2 linked regions of the Styela clava genome follow. The protein of the gene in region 1 interacts with the protein of each later gene in a pairwise test. Links are inferred from orthologs where the notes say so. Each region holds a gene or a part of one and is shown in the gene's direction. Other genes may lie near its edges.

Region 1 (12,249 bases):
GATTTTTCGGCGATTAACTTCTCCATGCTAGAGCTTAACAAACGAAGTGACGAGAGTCGCGGTTTTTCTCCACTATTGCGTGAATTTTATGATTCATCTGTCACTACACATTCAGATATTTTATCAATTCACCAAATAATGGCAACCAGTCATATCAAACCATCGCCTTCTAAGCCAGTGGGTTCTCCAAATATTGCTGTAATTACTGTTGACTCGCCCACAAGAAATAGCAACGGACTTCCAATAATATCGTCGTCAATTAACACACTGTATCCGGGATTATCACAAGACAGAAGAGAATCAGATGCAGACAGGTAGACCAATCTCGTTATTGATATTGTGGAAAACACAGTCATTTGGGCATCTATGGTATTTTTCCACGGAGTCACGTAATCAAAATAGTAATTTGAAACTCTGTTTATATAATACAAGACTAATCAAGGCTATCGAAACCCATTTCTGTTATGGGAATACTACGAACCACTTTCCTGTGTGTCAGCTACATATTAAAATTATATTATTATATGTAATGGAATTTTGACAATCGAATTATATATATAGAATTAAACCCCACATGCTAAAACAAAAATGATTGCATTTTTTTGCTGTTAATACGAGGGATATACGACAAGTAGGACGAAATATTGTTAACGTTACTCGAGAGGTGTAGTTGCCATTTTCTTTGGTATAATTATGCTATTTAGCTGTACATTGCTACAAGCAGTGGCGTATCTACGTATAATAAATAGCGCTCATGGCAAGGCATAGAAATGCGCCCCCAACATGGTTGGTTGGTAATCTATAACGACTGTTATTGATATACTTGTACGTTATATTATTTGAGTAAAAATACGAGTTTCAACTATTTCCTATTTAAAATTATTTTATTCAAACATTTTACGATTAAAACTATTTGCCGTTTTGCGTCTCTGTTCAAACGGCGCCCGTGGCACGAGCCATGGTTGCCACACCCTAGATACGCCACTGGCTACAAACGATTAAAATCTATCACATCATACAAATACAATTGATAACCTAAACTAAACAAATCAATAATTTCTGATCATGAAAGTCATCTGTTTCAAGACGCGTCTTGTGCGCAGTTTCACAGCATCAGCTGATATGTAGTTGCCAGATTTTTTTCACGTTGGCCTGTGATTATATACCCACCGATATGTGATAAACGATTTCAGATATTTCACGGCATCATCCGGCGATGAAAGATTTGACGATGAAGACGACGATTCTAATGATGAAGACGACGATGACGGAATGTGTATTATGTTAGATAGCGACGACGAAGATGCGGATGCTGGCAGTAAGTAAAGCATTAGTAGTGTGCATGAAATGAAGTCGGAAAACCAAAAACTGGACGTTACTGTGTAGCATTAGAATGTCGGATATAGATTCTATTTACTACTAAATTGACTGTACAGTGAGTAATGCGGACTCGGAATCGTAGGTAGTTTTATACCGGTATTGGGGCAATCATTCTTATATTGCCATATATTTAAATTCTCAAAAGTTGATTCGAAATTTATTGACTGAAACAAAAAAGGCCTGCAAACGCGTTCTGGATTTTGTTACGCACTATTTTTTGCTCGATTCAAATTTTGTTATAACAGCATAGTACGTGACTCAATTTTCCTTTCTCGATAGCACGTGTATACGTGAAATTTTCTGAATAAAAAGATCTACATATCAAATTTACTTGGTGTTAGCCGTTTGGGAAATCTTAACATCCCATCTTTGATCGAATACTTACTCCATTCAATACGAGAAAGTTGAGAATGCTTAAAATATTGACCCATTATTATATTCCATCTATATATTATTTTGTTTTAATTCACATAATATGCGATAATCTATGATATATATTATATATATGTACATTGTTTGAAATATTTGAATTTAACACAGGTTTATCGGGACTTCATATAAACCTCAAGACATTACAAGCCGTGTCAAATATGCTTGCACATTACACTCCTATAATACAGGTAATTACAAGTCTATAATTTTACTTTGGATGTAAAAATTTCTTTGGAATTATGTTCTAATCTAGATGGCCAATAAAATGATGACCCCGTGAAGCAAATCTAGTGCTCAATAGCCTACTCGTTGAATATAACGAATAAATTTCCTTGCTGATTTCATTCGAAGGAATAACGTCATTTCACGAACACAGATATTTTTTAATGTGTGCTGATATCCCATCGTGGTATTACCTACAACACTGCATTGCTTTTATGTCAAATATTTAGATATATATATAGGTTATTAGTTGGACATCTGTGTACGACAATCGCTTGGTGGCTGTATAGAACCGCGAACTAAGCTGTAAAACGTGGGTTGTTGGGATTTGAGAGGAAATCTATTTTTTGGAACATTGGCTTTACCAAGCTTTCAGCTTGAAGTTGTATTTTAGTGTCGTATTCACTTGGAACCAAATTGTTCAAATCAGAGTTTATGTTCGAGATGACTCAGTAGTAAATCACGGGTGACGTTTTATTTGCGATTCCCTAATTATATTTTCTTCAGTTCAATTTTATTTGCAGTATTTACAGTAAATTAGTCATTTGCGGTTGTTTAAATTATTATCATTTTTTACTTTTGTAGCGTGACATGAACGGTAACCCTGTATTTGTTGCTCCTCCTCCTCCAATTGGCGACGTATCTGCAAATGCCACACCTACGAAGCATACAGCATCAGAAAAATCTCCACTGCGCACAATACTGAGCTCATCGGGAGGTAAATTTTTCAATTAAAGTTAACTTTGGTCGTACATCACAACAAGCGCGAAATTTATCTAAAACACATGCATTTTGCTTTCATATAGATACGATAAAATCAAAAACTTCTAAGATTAAGTAACAATTATAATATGGACAACAACACAATGAGCACAGCAATAGTCGTGAGCATTCCATTCCATTTTCTTTTATAAATTTCAGGCGATGACGTTACAGAAGAATTTCAAATCGCTTTACAGGAACTCGAAAACGTTGTTATTTCAGCAGAAGAGGACACGTTATTCGTTGACAAAATGTCTGAATTAACAGAGGTTATGGAAAAAATGACGTACTTCGCCGCCGAAGAAGTTGATGACATATAAAGGACGCTCATTTAGCGCCATACGTCAATGCACTGTTATTTGAAGAGGTGTTGCTACTATTACTATCTTCCACTCAAGTGAAATAGTAAACTATATAGTTTTCAAAGTATATTGTTAAAAAGCATCGAATTTTATTGCCAAAGTCACCACTTCTATGTATCATATGCAAACAATGAACAGTCACGAGGTTGAAGTTGTTTGACTGAAAAGTCTCCAGGAGAGTGTATTCACACCGGGAACTTAATTTAATTACTATTTAATTCTGGTTGGCTTGTGCAGTGTTTATTACATTACAGTTTACTCACACAAATATACAGTTTATCTATGACAAATGACGTCTTGAAGTTTTATAGTGGGCGGTTAGATTTTGAACGGAGTGGGAAAGTAATTTGATAGTTTAGTTGGAATTCAATACAATTTTGTTGTACTACGAAGCAATGAACATATATACAACAAGAGAGCTATGCTCCAATATATGGACACGTAGCGCCACCCAATGGCAATAATTTTGATGACGTCATAGCGAAAAAAAAAGTAATAGCCTTCTGGAGAAAAATTTTATCTTCAACCACTGAAAATTTCAAAGCAATTGGTCCAGTATTCGAAGAGAAAAGCGACTTTTTAAAAACGTGTCAAAGAACAACAACAACATAATATTGAAACGATCGTTATGTCCACTTCGTGTCCAATAATTGAGAATTCAACATCAGCACACTTTCATAGCGTTAGCATGTCAGTTGTATCACTCAGATTATCATTTCTGATTACCATTTTTATATTACAATAAAATCATATATCTTGAAATAAACTGGACAACGTTTGGATGGAAATATGAATATGCAGTATCAAGAATCAATGCCCTGCTGACCATCTAATCTAAAAATAAATACTTTTGGTTGCGATCTTTACACATTCTTCTAGGAAATCTTCCTTGATGCTGTAGAATCTATACGGCGTAGATCAGCGATCGGCAACCTGCGGCTTCTGAGTAGGATTGTCAGATCCAAGTGATGAAAAAAGACAGATCAAGACAGAAAAAGTCAACAATTTTAACAAGTACAAAAGTATCATGATTTGACAGATTTGAAATATATTTTACTATTAAAAATATATTTGTTATGCTTATTTTGAAGAGATTGTTTTGAAGTGTTGGCGATTATCACATGTTTGAAGGCATCATCATTGTTGACTTATTTTTGATTGGTTATGTTTAAGCAAAAATCGAAAAGTTGAGTAGTAAAGCTTGCTATTGTTGCACGCGTTAAAAAGCCAATATGGCAACCCTGCTCCGGAGCCGCATTCGGATCTCTGGCTCCCGTGAATCAAAGTGGCTACGGCAAATTTTTGTTAGAAGCAGTTGGGATTCAATGAAAATCGGGGGCATAAAGTCGATTACAACTCACTAATTACATATCACAGCCGGTATAAGTCGAGAGCGGTAAAAATAGATCGCATTAAGGTGATTCGAATCTGTCAAAACAAACTTTTTTTCATTTTCCAAGTTTTTTCCATTTTCTCGTAAACTGAATTATTGCATCATTCGTAATTTATTTGCCTTCCTCTTAGTGTGAACTAAAATATTTCATCATAAGCAATTTTCCGGGGGTTTTAGAAGCCACTGATATTAGAGTAGATGTTGCGGCTCAGAGTGGGTTAGGGTTTTACGGAAAAGATGCCAAATGGCTCTTTCAATGCTAATAGTTGTCGACCCGTGTCGTAGATGAACATCATATTGATGACGAACAATGTATATATTTTTTTCTGAAAGCGCATTAGTGAAGCATTACAATTTTCTACTATTTGGAAAGTGATAGAAAATTTGAAAAAAATACGCGAAGGCGAGAAATAGTCATTGAATTGTCCTTTTTCCAACTTTTTAAGATATAATATCTATAATAATATTATTTAAGATTGAGGATAAAAACTATGCTACGTTTCTTGCATAGCCATCTTCAAATACCCATACAGCAAGATTTTGTTGTTGCAGAAGCAACGTAATTTAATTTTGCAGCAAACAATGGTCAGATTGTCTATAGGTGGAGAGATCATTCGATTAACAAAGACCTAATTTTCTCTACGTTTTTAGTTCTATTCGCAAGTTATTTTATTTTACTTATCACGCTTAGTTGCAAAGAGGGAATTTTAATCTAAGAAAGGTGCCGTCCATTCGTTTTAAACCTATCAGCGAACAACAAAACAGACAGCATCCAACAATGAAATTCCGCAATAAAATACACGGGTCCCTTACTTTCTTTCTATTTTTAAGAGATTTCACGCATACCGATTGCAATCTTCGCGCCGTACAAAAATACCTGCGTTCGGCTTGAAAGAATTTCGATAAAAGGGAAAAAGTAGATAGAGCGCAAAGTGGTCGTCTTTCGTTACTTGTACAAAATTAGTGAAGCAATAAATGGGCTTCGTCTAAGTGTTTTTGTTTAAATTATTACTGTCAACTACCGTGTTATTTTTTGCATCTTGTTCCCCGGTGTGCGCCCTAATATTTCAATCTTGGGCAGTCTTGTTATAGATGGTTAGACAAATTTTGCATTTAGGAATCAGAACACACCGCAATAAAAATCCTAGTTTTTGTAAAAAGGGGCACACTTTCTATAACAAAAGTTGCAACGAGAACTGTTTATACCTCATAGATTGTTTAGACATGACATTTTCTATAGATTGTTGAATTTTGCTTTAGCAATAAGTTGAGTCGGCGTCTAAGAAGTAGACTGTGATATCATAAAATGGATCTGTTTGTTCATTGAAATTCGAGAAATAAGTTACCGAGATTAGAAGATCAGAATCAGGAATATTCGCATTAGGATATTGAAAGGCGCCGCATATTAACTAATCTTTTCGAATTGGTGGTAATGTAAGAAGATATGGAGATGCCAAATTGCATCATAACAGAAACACGATATCGAATACTGCTATAGCGTATTAGGTGTCTGAATTAGGTATAAATTATATTTTATCTTATGAAAAGCCCCACGATCTATAGACTATAAATCTTTGTGCATTTTTTTGAAAACTTGGATGACATAATTTAATATCGACGACTCAATATTAAGATTCATAACGAGGCCCGTTGTTTGAGCATTATGACAGATAGCATCAACAAAGTTTATCGCCGAGAATCGTCGTTTCTTGCCTTCGGGGTGTATACAAAAGACGATGCTAATATTATGGAATTTATCGTAGTTTATGCCATCTTGGTTACAAATCAGTGACCGGTTAATTTGACGCAAACCTGACATGAACCGGATATAAGTCGCCTATTTCGAGCATAATTTATCTATCCCCCCGTGGTTGACCCTTTAAAAATTACTAAATGTCAAATCTATAAACGAGTGCTAAAGTAATAAAGAGGTATTAATGATGTGCACGTGCAATAGAAAAGGAATCAAAATTAACTTAAGGAACAGAGATTTGGTTTGAATCAATTTCATATTATATTTTTAAGAATCGATTTATTTTAATAGAACTTTTGATAAATACCAACTTTTTGATAGTAATCTGTTAGTGAATTGTTTAAAAATGATTAAAGTGGTACCATATAATCTGTGCAACACCCTCATCTCATCTGAGCATCTATCGTTCCCTTCCGAAATATATATATTCTTAAGTTACAATATATTGTTGTGTCAGGAAACAAAGATTATACATATGACAAAACAATCTGGAAAATATTCAAAACGAAGCCTGCAATTTCATCCGTCGTCAATGGGATGATTACCTAAATTTGTGTCGCAGGACGTCGTGCATAACGGTTCGAAAGGTAGAATCACGTATAACAATAGATCATTCTTATGAAATGAACTAACTATTTATTGGGGCGGGAAGATGGTGATTTGTCATCAGTCGCTCAAAACGCACATTTGCTTAGAGAATTCCGAATAGTTTTAGGGACATGATGCTGTCTGATACAAAATGCACTTTTGTTAGTTTTTCGTATTCAAATTGAAAAAATTAATTCACAATTCAACTGTTGGTAAAATGTAGATACGTAATATACAAACTCGCGTTGGCCAAATTGAATAAAAGGTCACAGATAGCTAAGGTCGGGTTATCCTCAGATCAAAAATTTGATTAATGAACAAAGGATCAATAACGAAATTTCACCTATATTCTAAAAATCCATCTTGAATATGCATTTGATTGTAAATATTTCATATTCATAGAGTTACCTATTCAGGTGAAATATCATGGCAGAGCACGCTATTAAAAGTTTTCGGTAAAATGGAGCAGTGAATACTTTGTGTTTTGATACTTATTCTTTGCAATCACGATATTTTTTCGTTAAAATACCATTCCCAACACATATCATCAGTCTCAAAATAAATTTCAACGCGTTTTACTTCATACCAGACCAAGCGGAAATTTTTTTTCGTAAACACTATCAAGGTATTCGATTCCGAAGCTTCATAGTTGGGTAATCATGAGAAAACTTCATTCTAATAGCATTCTTTGGTTTACCATTCTTGCGAAATGATAGAAAAAATGCGTTCCAGTATAAGTTCGTGGTAAAACCCGTAGCTTTAAAATGACAGAAACATATCTGTCACATAGGGCTTGTACGTCGTTACGGTTGGCTCATGTTAGTTAATATGATCCAAATGAAGGTATACATTTTGATGCAAGATGAAACTCAATCCACGAGAAGTCAGCAGAGGACAAAAAGTAGCCAGGTGCAATTATCTACTTTTTCCGGCCTATCGGGTGAATTTTTTCCAATAAAGCGTTGACCTATTTTTTTAATATTCATTTTTACAGCTCATTTACTACCATATAGCTTGCGTTTAATACGTGTACAGAGTCTAACAAAAGACGAAATCACTACATAACCACCATTTTCTTACGTATTGATCCACCCAACTGACAAGATTGAGGCTATAAACCACTATCCCCCTATGCCCCTCACAGCCGGCATCAATTTTCCACATGTGAGGACTTTTAACCCACTCCCACAGCAGCTCCCAGGACAAGGGTTTACCGAGTCGGTCAAGACTTTGCCACCGCAGCAACCTCCAATCCAATTTCTCCATAACAACCCTGTCCTCGGAAAACCAGGGTCTATACTACCTCCACCAGTTTCTATTCCCGCTATGTTACCCAAGCAAGGACCAGGTGATAGCACAATTAGCTCAATGGACAGTTCGTCATCAACTCAAAGTTCGAATGACAATCCAATATGCTCCCCTGGAACAAACACGGCCTCATATTCATCTAATGACGAAGAACGAAAGACCAGAGACAAATGTCTTTATCTCAAACAGCTACTGCAAGATAAGAAACAGCTTCAGAATTTTGGCGGAATGTTTGTTCACATTGACAGAATACTAGACGAAGGTAAGACAATTTTTTGAAGGTTATTAATTACACCAGCAAAATGATGCAATATCACCATATTCGACTATTTGGGTAAAATAGAATAGACTCGAATATATATGACATTTTTCTCTTTTAAACCATAGATTGGTAGTCGAAAACTGTGTGACAGAACTGTTAATTTTCAAGAAATAACGGGACACATTTACCATTTATGCATTAGCTAATTATGCGCTCCGTATTTGGATAACACGAGCATGCATTGCTATTCATTTAGGTAGTAAATCGTCTGCGTGTTTGATTATTTTAAATCTAAGGAACGTAGATGAGATTAGATGAATTTGCCATCTGTTTTAATGCACGTCGCTGTGATTAAAAAGATTTAAACTACTGAATGTTAATACCGTGGTAGGAAATATTTCATGCTATTTAATAAATGATATTCTTGGAATAAATTATGACGAAACAAAGACTTGGAGACGAATCAGTCGAGCGTAAACCTAATGTAAACAATACTTCAATGTTCGCTCTCTCGATGCCGAATTCTGCTGTGACCCGTCTGTCTTTTCATTTCTTTGGTTTTCAATGCGGTAGAGATCTTTGTGGCTGCCCTATTTATCGCTCTCGTACTCTGCAGCGTGTAGTTTTTTCAAGTGGTATTTGCTTGCTCTATCATGTTATAGCTACCACAGGAATGCAAATACAAGATAACTTGGTTGTTCTGACGCAGGAGAAAGTCGCACAAACCAACCTAGCCTCAGGTGTTGATAGCCTTAAGACAAGAGTCATATAACATCTTTCGTATGCCAGTATGCGGTATTAAGTTACTTAATACTATGTTAGTAATGATAAAAACAGTTGTAATTGAAGAACTCTTGAACAGAGATAAAGTAACTCAAGTGGACTGACTGATCAAACTCAGAAATTGCCCTGAGCTGTGTGTACTACAGTACTTAGCATACGGTAACTCAGTGCCTGAGCAGGTTGCAGTGTATACAATTATTTAGATTTATAATTACGAGTATAATTTAAACCCAAAAATAAGATGATTTATTCAGAAGAATGAATTAATAGTACAAGGATTGGGAAGCCATGAGACATTAAAAGTTGATTTGAACCAATCATCTAAATTCTACTATCTGACTATAGACAGATATATGATCAAAATTCTTAGGTGCTCAGAAAAAACATAACATAATGCCATAATATAATTCTTATAGCAGTATAAGAAAACAGTTATGCAGCTTTTATATGTATGTGACTATAAATATTATCACATATCCAAATCCGATGTTATGGGAATGTGTAGACATACAGACAGATTTATATACAATTTATCTCAGCATTAAGTCAATTTTGAGGTTAGATGAAATGAATTATAAAAATTAGATTGGACAGTGATTCAATTTTGAAATTTATTAAGGCAATAGATTCCATTCAGCTTCTTGTATAAAAATATGGTAATTTCCACCTTAGGGGCCAATTAGTTCAATACTTATTGGCTTACTAATTCCCATGACATTTCATGACAATGCAATCCCTAATCTGTTTTTATATTTGATTGTTTACAATAGATTTCTGTATAAGTAGGGGTAATTAGGAATTGGAGAGAGAGAGATAGAAATTCAGATTATATTCAGTTTTTTTTAAACACAGACAGTTTCTGATAGGTGGTAGAATCCAATCTAATTTATTTGAGTGAAAAGTTGAATTTTGAAAGCTCAAAGTGGTCTAAAAAAAAGAGTTCTACTATTAGTAGATGTTATTACATGACGAGAAAATAAAAAGTGATATAAAAATGATTTTTTTTATCCCATTTGTGTCAAGGTTTATTTGGAGCATCCTTTGTAGCTATATTTTTCATGGGCCTATTTAGCTTGTTAGTGACTTTGTCCCACAGTATCCATAAATCACCAGGACTGTCAAAATAAAGAGATTAACTTCGTGACATATATTGAAACTCTTTGATATCCTCTTTGTTATTGAAATTAATATATTTATTCTTGAACCAATAACAGTGTTAATAGTTTTAGTATTTTTTATCAAAAATTTGCTCAACTCAAATGCCTGATGAATCTTGCTGGTGCACAAACCCTGACGGACTTTGGTGTTAAATTTGAAAATCAGACTGCATATTTGACAAATTCAATGACTTCGCAAACGTTGCCTGCACAATCCGCGGCATTAAACATGGTTCCATTAAATGGATTTGCAAGCACAGTATCTCAGCCATTGTCGAGAATTTCTATGGCTCCCTCGATTCAAACTTTTAATTCAACTAATAGTCAAATAAGCCAGCTACAAAGTAGCACATCAAGGTCAAATGGTTTTTGCGCAAACACATTGTTAGGTGCAACACAAGCACTTATGCAATCACTGCCACACGATTCTGACAGCAAAACAAAGGAAAGGTGCAACTATCTTCAACAACTATTAAAAGATAAGAAACAATGTCAAAGTTATCCAAGTATTTTTTTACATGTTGAAAGGTTACTTGATGAAGGTGAGTACATTGCTACAAGATTGGGTTATTTCATATAGAAGAATTATATGTTGAGAGATTGTCAAGAAGATTGTCCTGAGTTTTATTATAAATACTTCTTCCGTCTTAAAAATTCTCTTCATAGGATATTGATTATCTGGGTTTGTAGAATGAAATGCAATAAAACTCAGGTGTAATATACACCATTGTTGCCACATTTATCATGAATAATTTAAAAATTTAACTTTTGAAGGTTTTATATGACTGGAGATTTATTACACAAAACAATTGCGATCGAATGTGTGAAAGACTTACTTGATTGATTGAATAGAATAGGATAATAAGAATTCAAAGAATAATGTTAAGAATTTGTATTATAGTTTGAAGGATTACACAATGAATGTTTCACTGTGATGTTTATTAAAACATTCTGTTAGAGTATTTACAACAAAAACAAAGTGAAAAATAATAAGTTATTGTATTTCAATATTGCTATAGCCACAATTTATACATAAATTACACATATTATATTGTGTAACAGAAAATTGTAATACTACAGTTTACATTAATATTGTCAGTTCAAACAAAACTCTCTTTGTTTTGTGTATTGAAACCTAACACACTGCATTGACATAGCAAACAATGGTAGTGGGAAGCAAACCTTTTAACATATTTATTGAGCCATTTTTAAATATTGAATGCGTCAATACAAAGTCAACCACAATGCAAAGAAAATTTCAAAGCCAAATTGACATAATGCTGTGTATGTATGAGTATTTAAACATTGTTTTCAATATACATTACTCAAACTGATGGGAATTTTTCAATTTGTATAATTAAATGTTGACATGTGATTGTATGGTATATTAAGTAAATAAAGTAAGATTGTAAATTGTAAGACTGATTAAGATCGAAACATCATATTAGTTGTTGAGCATATATTCAATAAAATATTCTGTTGCAGTTACCAGAATAAATGTTACATCCCTTCGTTGGTATTATCTTAATAACTATAATACTTCTAGACCAATTGAACTGTTCAAGCATTCTGTAGTCGTTTCCTAAGGTCTTCTAGCAATTTACACAGGAAATAATACAGAGCTCAAACCGCCGGAGTTGAGACTTATATTGTATCTTTGTAATGGTTTTGTAATATGAGTGGACAATTTGTGTACACTTTACAGTGATAAATGAAGCGTTCAGTCTTGTACAAAACATATGACTCACAATGCAATCAATGCTGTTTTGTTTGATATTAGCACATAAAAAAGTTTTAAATTATGGTAAATCTGGCTGTATGTTTATTTTTTTATGACTTTGACTATT
Region 2 (11,903 bases), on another chromosome or scaffold:
ATATACTTGAAGATCTTTTGTTTTTCTGCTTTTATATTTTGAACAGTATTTGAAATTTATATTATAAATAGTTTACACTAGAATGTGATTAGTACGATCTTATAATATTCTGTTCGATAGCAATTTACATCCGAATAAACTGTTCATCTGGCATAAAAATATAACCATGTTTAACTTTTCTACAAAATGTTATAAATCATGATATAAAAACCAACGACAAATTTTACATGAAACATGACTTCATCTAAATTCTACAAAACATGAATTTTAAATGGAAAAGGTTTTGTTCAAACCAAGTTTCTTATCGGCAGTTTAATTTTATTGCACTATTGAATATTCCGAAAAAAAAATTAACATTTATGTCGTCGAACCTTGTTGTCGAAGTTGCAGCCAAACTTTTTGACTGATAAAGAATCACGCTCAAATGAATTCAAGTCGAGATTTTGTCGGAGTCAAAATTATTACTAACTTAGGGACAGATGTTCTGTACATTCAAATCTTCGGGGTATTATTGAAAATTTGAACATTCCAAAAAAAAAAAAAATTAGAACCTCACAGCCATGCGCCATTATTGACTCATTGACATTATTGACATTATTAGTTTGTAGAATATCAATATCACCTCTACCGATTTCGAAATATATCACTTATGTTAAGCCGCTTTAATCCAATTTCCACGTACAGACATAAGCACCAACAAAAGATATCTTCTTAATAATGTTTTGAATACCTTTTTAATTCAGGCGACATGAAATCAATACAACGCTAATAAATATGATTGAAACAAGTTTGTCAGCTGAAGTATTTTCGAAAAAGAATTCGATTTTTGCTGAAATTATTAGATTTAAGAATTCCAAAAACATTTCGATTTTGTTTTCGAGTTGCTGTGCCTTTATTCGTGTCATATCACTCAACAAAAACTTGTGGCAAAATTATTGGATCACTAAATATTATTTTCTCATTGAATTTTATTTGGAGTTGGAGTTGATTGCAGATGTATGTTTATCCATGCGTAACTGTCTAATTGTCTCATAAGTCTTGAATACTTAAGGTTTCTAAATGTATCCATAAAGAACTTACTATCATTTTAGAATGCCGACAAATTTCCGCTGAAAATGTCGCTTAATTTAAAGTACTGAAATTGCACCATACGTTGTTTGCTCATTCGAGTTTTTAACAAGTTTAAATATTTCTGCCGCCCGTTTTAGAAATGAAAGTTGCTGACTGCCTCTTTTATATCGACATAAATACTCCTCAAAAGTCAAAACAAATGATTGTATACAAGGTGGGTTTTGAGATGGAGCTAACTTATAACCAATTCATTTATTATTATATTACTTACCTTTGTGGGATAGAGTGGAACTATCTCTGACTGTCAGTATCAAAAGAATTTAACCTTTGCCAGTCGAACCTGAGACTGCGATTCCGATATTATCGGAAATCGTGGCCACCATTGCATTGCGCGTTCGGATGCTCGGACTGTCGCCATGGTATCTGAATCATTATCTATTCTTTGTTATAGCCTACCTTGAGTATGGAAGGATTGTATTAAATGTACATTTGTTTTATTCGCTTGACCTTGGTATATTATGGCCCGGCCCTATATATATGACTATACGTCGCTGATATCTATCTGACATCAGTTTGGGGTGACAGTGCTAGTTCCAATCTAAATCGTTAACCACGGTCAATTCATTAAACAACTTCATCCTATTATACATTTTTGCGAGCTGTGTAATTCCAAGTACAACTCCAAGGATTACAGATCGGCTTTAAAAAACGTTTAATTTTTTCATACATTTTCACTTGTTGGGACAATGGTGGCTGAATTTCTCATATTTTTTCTTGATAAGTTATATCTACTCCCATATTGCTCATTTCTGATGACGTCGACGATTCGTGATATATTTCACAGTATTTGTGTAATCAAATATTCCCAACTTACAGAAATCTCATCTGAGAGTTTATTATTAAAATGTCGTTACGTGGTTACTAGATTCAGTCAATAATTCCTTATTGCCAGCCATTAATATATATATATATATATGTCATTCGCTATGTATTTGCCGAGGTGGCAACACAACACAGTGAGAATTTGCCGTAGAGGCACAAGCTGTCATCATTGAAGAGTTTAAATGTCCAGTAAATATCAAGACACTGTCTCGTATACCTTTACAGTGTTTCTGCCATAAAACATATAAAAATAGATTAAATCAGCCGTTATAAAATTTTATTTTGTGTGTGACTGACAGAACACCAGAGAGTCAGCTAAACAAAGCAAACGTCGCTTATCAAAGAGAAAAAGTGGAGAGGAACGAAGAATTACATAGTGGAATGGAAATCGTGGATTCGAGTGCTGAATTTGTCTAGGGGCCTAGTTATGGTTATTTGCACAACCGATATGACAAGGCTTCTCGTCGTCTCATGCACTTATCCACAATGAACCCTTCAAAAACATTTTCATTCTATGATTCACGACGACTAACTGCGGACACGTATTAACTTCTTTCTTGCAAACAAAGCCCTGTTCTATTACGGTTTTTACCACCATCAAATCAACGCACCTGAAACAAATACATATTTGGTTTACGATTCCCCGTACCCATGGATTGGCAACCGGGGATAGGTCAGGGTTAGAAATATCATAAAGCTGTCTTTTCTTCTACTTCTCTATCCCATGTTATAGATATTTCAGGAATGGCCAACACGTCTCGAGTCGTCGATCGCGTCTGATGTTGAGTGAATTTAATAACATACCGCAAAAAATTGCCTTGAACCCGTTTCATGCAGCGCCGGTTGTGTAGGGTGACCATATTTCCAAATCCTGAAACGAGGACACATCGTTTGGTAGAACCATATTATTCCACCTCTGCCTGAGATATATAAATTATATATCTACTAAATTCTCTAGGATTAAACTTAGAAGCGAAAATAGACGATGTGACGACAATGCAATAATGCATTCTTGTCTTGTCAACGAGCAACTGTAGCCGCAAGTAATGCACTCCGCTTCGCTATCAGTTCGATCTTTTCTAAATCTAAAGCATGGATACTTGACGTAAAACATACTGGTGTAAACTATTTATGATATGACGTAAAAGATAATTGCAAAACAACACGATTTTTACGTGATAAAGTATGCATTTAACCGAGAGCAGTGGTTCTTAACTATTGCAGGTCTGCCAAACCCCGAACGCTATTGTGCAAGCTCCCTTTTAACCCCATTCCACGGTTGAAATTAGAAGCGCAATTAGAACTTCACAATAGGGAAGGAAATTTTGTGAAGGGTTAAAGAAAATGAACATTGTGATGTAACTAGGGTTGGATTATCCGGATAGCGGTTAACCGGATAACCGGTTAACCAAGAGGTATTTTGCTATCTGATATCCGGATATTATTGTAACGGTTAACCGGATACTAGAGCAGTATTAATAATGCATATGCGCATTAGTGATTTTTATATTTTTTGTTGAGTGGCCACCAACGACTAACATACCGGCCACTGACATCTCTCAGAGAATATAATAATCACTTATATCCACACTACTCGGCCTATATTTTAGTCATCCGTGTAATGCTGGAGTGAATTTGACTAAAGTATTACATCACAAAACACGCAGAAAAATGTGATTATTGCATATTTGCGTTATAGAAGAGCCCGACTTACCTTAAAGTAAAAGCATTTCTACTCTAGATATGAAAATAAATGGTAAGCTGCACGAACAAATCCAATTTCTTATTTTAGCGATCTTGAAAATTCATCAAATTTGAGCTGTTATTGCAATTCCAATGAGTATAATTTATTTAGTACAATAAATGCAGATATAAATTAGCTTATAGCGTAAATATAAACTGCTTATAGTTATATATCAACATTTTCGAGAGAAAAGTCGGGTTCAGTCTCGTCGGTATATAACGCCGATAATTGTTTTATTTCGCCCGGAACTGAAATGGCCGCAGTATGTTATCTATCGTCGTATCTATCTATCGTTAAGAGAGTAGATCTGAAACACACATTTTTGACTGAAAATAAGGAAGTGAATGCTAACGAAAATACCACGACTCTTGTTTTATGAGCCAGTGATAGATAAAACAAGACTCTATTTTAGGCGCTGTTGAATCGCCAAAATTTCGTAATAATTGTATTTAATGAATTTACAACAAGGGTAACTTTTCACGGGATGTAACTTCTTTTCAAATTAAAACTGCCATAATGCCGATGTTAATTCCCCAAATAATCACGCGACGCGGAAGAAAACGATCGGCGATGATAACAAAATTAGCCTGTAAAATTTGACCGCCTTTATTAGTGACGTTTTCGAAAATTTCAAAAAGAGGAGGAAAAGGCTGTTATTACATTTATGGTTTTTATGGAACTTTCACAAACAAATTTGTTTGAAAATGGTCTATAATATTTCAGCAAAGTTTAATTTGACAGACTCTGTATCGTGTCATGTTTTTCGTTTACTCATTTAGGGTGGTAAGTAAAGTTGTTCAAAAACTGGCGCAGCATTGTTTTGGCTCTGTTAATTTAGTTTAAAAGGTATTCGAATGGAAATAGATTTGAAGTTGTGGCCTAATTAGTACAAACGTGAGAATATTTACAGTGACATGTTAAATAAGTGAAGTTTTCAAATTAGAAGAAATTTCTGACCACTTCGGTTTTTTCATATTCATCAATTTGCTTTGTTATTAAAAATTTTGTTCAAATTACTTATATTTTCCTATACACTTCACGGAATTTGTCCCCCCTATATTCTATTTTTTTTGAATAATTCTCTCCCCGAAATAAAATGTTCGAAATGCACGATTTTTTGTGTTCATGATTTCATTTATATGTATGCTCTTATGGTATATATTAACAAAGTTTATTTCGTCGTGCAAGAAATCACAAAATATTATAGAACACAAAATACTATACATGACAATTTTAAATTTCATTGCAATTGATAGGAAGGTGCGGATGATCAGAAACGATCATTGTGAGTCTGCGACACTAAAATTTAGTACGAGTCAAAATTTAAAGAAAAGAGGCTCTGGACACAAAAAGAAACTTTTAAAAAAATTAACAATAAAGTAGAAATAATATAAATATTATTTACATATTATTTGAATAGTAGAAAATAACTTAGCAGTCGGGGGAAAAACAATTAGGACACAATATTTCCAAAAAATGTTTCATTTTATTATTCCGCTGTACATCGGTACGATTACTGAGCTTAAATTATTATTTATTGACACATGCAATATTAAAATGCACAATCATTCTTATTCAAGAAAAATAATACATATGTGAGTATTTACAACAGAATTGTGTGGTGGGTCCTTGGTCAATTCACCGCGAAAAAACCTGCGAAATCGGTTCTCTAAAATCAGCAGTAACTATCCAGTTAATCGGATATTTAAAATACGCAATACCCGGATATATCCGTTATCCGGATAGTGAAAATTATAGGTATCCGAACTAACCCTAGATGTAACCTTATAAACCAATATGTAGCGTGGAAATAGTCATTGTTGTGTCACTTATTTCCTACATTCAACCTGTTCGTAAAACTGAGCTACAATTTATTATAAGAATAAAAATGAGGCGCACGCACTAACTTAAAACCCCAAGGTTTGTCATAACAACCCAAAGTATTTTCAACCTATTTTGTATTCGGGGTTTATTAAAGTATTTATCAACCTATATCGTCACGCTAATAACCGAGTTGCGTAAGTCATTTTTGGCGGTTTTGAGTTTTTCATAAAACAGGTATTTATGTAATGCTACGCACGTACACGTGTCCAACAAGGAAAACGATACTCGGGGAAACATCCATAGATGTGAAATCCTATTATATATATATGAATTATTCCTACCATATCTCTTTCATGTTAAATTACTTCCAATACGTTAGCTTGTTTTAATGATAAGGAATAAACATTTTTTCCACCAGTTTTTGATTTTAATTATTGCGGATACATCGTTCGCGTGGTGATATTGTCTTAGCATAGACTGGGATCTACATGAATCAAATTCTTGGAGTTTTCTGAATCACATGCAAATAGTATGGAAGGTTAGAAAGGGTGATTTCAGGAAGGGTCGTTTTCTGTTTTTATTTATTTCATGTGTATCATTTTCTATCTTGGTTCTTGCATGACGGAAACAAATAACTGGAATGTATTACTGATGCAATCGTAAATACAACAGCTAGTTCAATTGGATTTTTGTAATGAAAAATGATCACATTCCTTTTTGATATTTTAAATTAAGTTAGTTGCATAATTTATTTTGAAGAACAAATTTGTGGAGAAAACCTTTTCTAGTGAATGGATACTTCGAGATCTTAACTATGATCTTTCATGCATATCATTATGCACGCATGCATTTTGAATAAATATTCATCCGCAGTATTTTTAAACTTACCAATAAAATATATCATCACATGTTTTACGCAATATCGATTTCATTATAATTGTTGAGTCACATAAGCAGTAAATTTCATGATATCATTGAAATAAATAATATCAATTGAAGGCATGATATATTTGTGCATATACACTGGAAGCAGTTCCATTTCCTGCATAAAATAACGATGCATGCCTGCCATTCCGTCGCTGGACTAGTTTTGTGGGCGTTTCTGGGGCAGTTTGTTTTTTCGGAGCCTTCTTGTTTCAAGTTTGTCGGTGTTATTTGAATTTTGTTCGCAGTGGATGACGATCGCGCGTACGGACTGGATGCATCTTTTTGTGTTTAAATATTTGGTGAGTTTAATTTATCTTTTAAACTTCAATTTAGCATTTTTTTTGCAGTCTGAAACCAAAGAGTTTCCTGCGCTTGTACCGGTACCGTACCAGTATCATCACATCTCCTTATCGTACAGCTGTGCGGCATGGATTTTGACATTCAGACATTTGTGAGTTTACATATTTACTGTGGCAGTATGGTACTGTCGTATGTTTTACTCATTCAATGGTCAGCTCGTGCAGTTATCATGTTATAGGCCTAATACGAATACCGACCCCGAGTCACTTCCGATCGGAAGTGATTATTCCCACATTTTACCAGTAATCCGTCCTCCGCATAACCACTCCATTGTCTGATTGCTGGATTGTGCAGTTGTGCCTAGCCTTGTCATGTTGATTATGGCTGTTTGAGAGATTGAATTAATCCCATCAATTTGTTACTGCAGTGTTGTGTTAATAATATACCGGTACTGATATAATGCTACTTTCCTAATCTGCTACGATAATGCAGTAAGGCTGCAATGATTTAAATTCAGAAATTGGGGTTGTTGACTGATTACAGGATTATGGGTTTATGCCAAGTTCTTCATTTGGTATTATTATTTGCAGTAATCTGGTAATGTATTATCGTCTTACTTTCAGACTTTATATAGTTCTATAGTCCTGTAGTCCAGATTGGTAAGAATTGAACCAGATCCTCAATTTACTGAACTTGAGATTTAAAGCAGTACCGTACTCCAGTACTGCAGTAAGTTAGTTTCTTGGCTGAATTTGAAGTCATAGACTTTTCTAAACTTATCAGATAAGTTTGCGCTTGACCCAAGGCTCATGGACAGTCTGCTTCATAGGTATAGCCTATATTACAGTATTAGGTAAATACATAACTGTCAATGATAAGGGAAAGAGCGAAAAGACAGCGTCAGAGCTCCGGCGAGAAACTCCCGATTGCTTGACAGAGAGTTGTAATCAAAGTTGGTTTGAAAAATAGTTACGTTTCTACTTTTTCTTAATTTGGCTTATTGATCATTACTTGCATTGCAAGACAGTGTATTCTAGCGCACACTGTATGTACACTAGACGAACTAGACGCTATACATAATAGCAAAGGTGGTTGGATGCGTTATCACATTTTAATTGAGGTTATGTTGGTCAACTTTTGCTATTTTCTCATCGAAGACTCAAATCAACATGAATTCACTTTGGAGTTTTTCTAAATGAGATCCTAACATGTAATGTAAATGTGATCATTGCAGCATTGGGGCTTTCTAAAATATGATAGATCGGGATACAATATGTAGTTGTGCTATTCTGGGAATTAAATCCATATATCCGCTGTTAACTGTTCCATCAGGAATAATGATGAGTGTCGTAAATTTGTAATAGAACCATATGCTAGGTATCTGAACTCTTTTTATATTATCGATATTTGGCAAATATTGCTTGCTGTATTTATACCAGTTACTAAGATACCCGGTCATTTTTCTGACGGGCTGTATTAGTTTAAAATTAATGGTGCAATACAGTATTCAGTGTTTATTCATGAGAAATTTTTTTGATATAATGAATTTACTTACCATACTTACTAATTTACTGAATCTCTGCTATAATTCTCAAATATACTGAAATGTTTGATTTATTGGCATGTCTTTTATTAGGATACAGACAGTACAAAATTATACTTATAACTGTGAGCACTTATAATTTTAGCTTATACAAGCTGTATTAGGTCATTATTTGCATTAGCACAAATGCCTAGATTTACCAAGGTTGCGTCTGTTTAATTCAATCTGTGAACAAGTCAAATTTCCCTTCAAGATCCCTTCAGTATGATTCTCATCTCAATCAGTTTAATAATGTTGATAAATATTGCAAAACTTGTTTTAGTGTGCTAGTCACCATTAGGAAAATTCTTTATGATTTATTATGCTAACAGAAGAATCAGGCTTCAAAGTTTAGGTAGCTGTTGACAATTGTATATATTAAATATAGATTTTTTTTAAAAATATATTTGTACTTGGGGATTAAATGAGTGTTAATGTTCTAATTTAAATTTTTATAAAGATAGTCTTGAAATTACAAAGTTGGTACAGCTTTCTAATTTTTTCATTCAGAATTATCAATATTAATTTGTATAACGAACAGATTGCAGTTTTTTTTTGGTGAAATAATAGGCCAACCCTGGGGTCATTTTTCATATCTAATAATGCTTAAATATTTCATCACTCAGTGTTTATGAATATGGCTTATGTAGGCTATATACAAGGCTGTCCCAAGTCAGTCTTTTTATTTGATGTTTTACATTAACATCATTTGTGAGCGTTTGGTTCTGACAATGAATTTTTTTGGTAATATATCTTTTTACCCCTAATGAATTGATCATTACAGATTTCAACATGAACAACATAACTTTAATTAATGGACCGAATCCTCTTGTTGATTCGTTAACCATGAATGCTCAGCATGCCACTCATCAGGTTGCAGCCCATGTTTTTTCCCAATCTCAACAACAGCCCCATCAATGCTCTTCTCCTGCTGTCATCTCAAATTCTAGTCCGGGAACGCCAGCTTCTTACTCATCAGGTATTTAATACAAATGCCAGTTTAAAATGCCAGTTTTAGAACTGTGCGCTGGTGACTTATTTCATAAATTTTGTAATTTAATTAAAGCATAAGGCTTTGCTTAAATCCATATTTGCTTCATATATATGTGCATAACTCATCAGAATATTCATTTGTTAAATTTAATCTCAAAAGTTTATTGTATGAATGAACATGATTGTTTATATTTGTTTTCAGTTATGTCAAGTTCTAATATGGTCAATGTCGGCGGAAGCTTGAGTTCTACACCAACTGATGACGAGTCCAAAACTAATCTTATCATAAACTATCTGCCCCAAACAATGACCCAGGAAGATTTGCGTAATTTGTTTTCTTCGATTGGAGAATTGGAATCATGCAAACTAATTCGAGATAAACTGACAGGATCAAGTTTAGGATACGGCTTTGTAAATTTTGTTAAAGCAGCTGATGCTGACAAAGCTATAACATCTTTGAATGGACTAAGAATGCAGCAAAAAACTATCAAGGTAAACATTTTATACTTGTTGCTGTGTAATTTGCTATCAATAATGTGATGGATATATATATATATATGCCATATATAAATATACAAGAATCTTGAATTTCTTTTCTGTTTCACTGGTGCTTTATATAGCATGGAATAATGTAGAGATCATATTTATAATATGCTTGAATATGTCCTATATTTAGGTTTCATTTGCTCGTCCTAGTACTCCATTGATCAAAGATGCTAATCTATATGTTAGTGGTTTACCAAAGTCCATGACTCAAGAAGATCTACAGCGTATATTCAGTCCATATGGTAGAATCATAACATCAAGAATTTTGGTAGATTTTTGCACAGGTTAGTCATATTGATACGCGTAAGTTTTAAATAAACAAAGAGGTCAAATACCAACATGAAAAAAAAAGTATTCTATTCGTCGAATATTGATGCGTTCTTTTTTATGTAATTTTTTTCTGTGCATTTACATTTTCAAAAATCGACTTTCATCTATCTAGTATAGAAATTTTGATTTAAAATGTTTTCAATACTATAAGTGCATGCCTCTGCTTTTACGCTTCTCATGCATTATTGATAGGCTTTTGTTTAATGCAGGTATGTCTCGAGGCGTGGGCTTTGTACGATTCGATAAACGTCCTGAAGCAGAAATAGCGATCAATGCTCTAAATGGGACTGTTCCCCATGGAGCAAAAGACCCAATCACTGTGAAATTCGCAAACAACCCTTCACAGAAAAATCAACAGGTTTTCCAAACACTGTATGCAGCCGCTGCTTCTCCCACGAGACGACTGGCTGCAACAACACCTGGTCCACTATATCACCAGGCTCGCAATTTCAGGTAAATATCCTATTCATTAAATTTCCGGATGTTGAAAAAACTTCGTACTAATTAGCCTTGTTTGTGCTTGTAAAATGAATATCATAATTCTAGAGTAAAATGGGTGGTGTCTATTAATCAATACTTCTAACCAGATTAGTCTTTGCTTTTCTAAACTATTTGTGGAACATGCCATAGTGACATGCTCTATCAATGGCCTCACTTCATCTAGATATGTACAATTCTTTTCATTTAAATTTTTGCCTTTTCCATAACATCAATTTTGCCACTGCAATTTGTAGTATTTTATATAATCTCAATGCTAGTTTTAGGTTTTGCACTCGTGATGTATTGTTCAAATGGTAGTTTATAAGATTTTGACTTATATGGGATCGTATGGTGTTTGTGATTTTAGATCTGGGGTGAACGATCTTCTCTCTAATGTGAATGTGGGCCTGGGGGTTAAGAGGTAATGCGGGTATCGTAAAAAAGTGCGTAAATCATCATGTAGTGCCATTGTGTATGATCTGTTTGTAAAGTGTTGTGTGCTTCCATATATGTCGTGAGTAATGTTAAAGTCAAAGAGCAAGTTCCCAATATTCATTTGTTTTTTAGTTTTCAACCTTATTTATTCACAGTTCACTAGTTCTCCTGCACATTCATTTTGGGCACTATTTATTAATCTGTTTGGAAATATCATTTTGAAAGTTTCAGTTTGAATTTTTACATATTACAATGCACTACTGGTAATGATTTGGTAGGATTTATTTCAATATTGGATATGTTTGTTAAAATAGAGCGAGTCCGTATCCAGAAGTAAGGCCAGGCACAGTGATTGCAGCTGGTTCAACTGCAGCTTTACAACCTCTGACTTTGGCGCCATCAGCAGAGCTAGCGTTTCCACCGGGTACAACTTTCTCGACATTACAACCAGCCTATGCACAGACAGCCTTGCCCGAACAGTATGCTTTACAAAATTTCACTGGATTACAGACTATACCTGGAACCACCCACCTTGCACTGCCTTCCACAGGCTTGACTTTGCAAGGCTTGTCACTCCCCACTATACAACCTGCCCCATTAGCCACTGCACCTGAAATTGCTCCAGCCACCCTCCCGGTTTCTGCACTAACACCTGCTGTTCCCGTATCACGGCAAACAGCCTCCACTTCAATTGGTGTATTGACAGCTCCCATCACTGCCGCTACCACTGCGTCACCAACCGATCCCTCAACTTCGACAACGGCGGTTTCAGGGACAACTGCCAATGGC

Evidence for each region.
Region 2: the proteins of KH domain-containing RNA-binding protein qki.S-like (region 1) and ELAV-like protein 1 interact in a two-hybrid assay, tested with the Caenorhabditis elegans proteins (2 studies listed by BioGRID). The link is inferred for Styela clava from reciprocal best matches to the Caenorhabditis elegans genes asd-2 and exc-7.

Annotation. Positions count from the first base shown.
Region 1 is NC_135250.1:10,358,449-10,370,697, forward strand, and holds the start of KH domain-containing RNA-binding protein qki.S-like, read left to right. Parts: upstream 1-7,886; 5' UTR 7,887-8,023; coding exon 8,024-8,462; exon of another isoform or gene 8,463-10,172; intron 10,173-10,434; exon of another isoform or gene 10,435-10,511; coding exon of another isoform or gene 10,512-10,944; intron 10,945-12,249. Other genes in the region: uncharacterized protein LOC120348618, read left to right, coding at 139-314, 1,194-1,318, 1,921-2,000, 2,620-2,752, 2,956-3,116. UniProt on the Caenorhabditis elegans protein: RNA-binding protein that binds to the 5'-NACUAAY-N(1,20)-UAAY-3' consensus sequence in pre-mRNA introns to promote alternative splicing.
Region 2 is NC_135251.1:29,565,233-29,577,135, forward strand, and holds the start of ELAV-like protein 1, read left to right. Parts: upstream 1-6,586; 5' UTR 6,587-6,747; intron 6,748-9,114; 5' UTR 9,115-9,122; coding exon 9,123-9,309; intron 9,310-9,525; coding exon 9,526-9,815; intron 9,816-9,999; coding exon 10,000-10,153; intron 10,154-10,408; coding exon 10,409-10,652; intron 10,653-11,428; coding exon 11,429-11,903.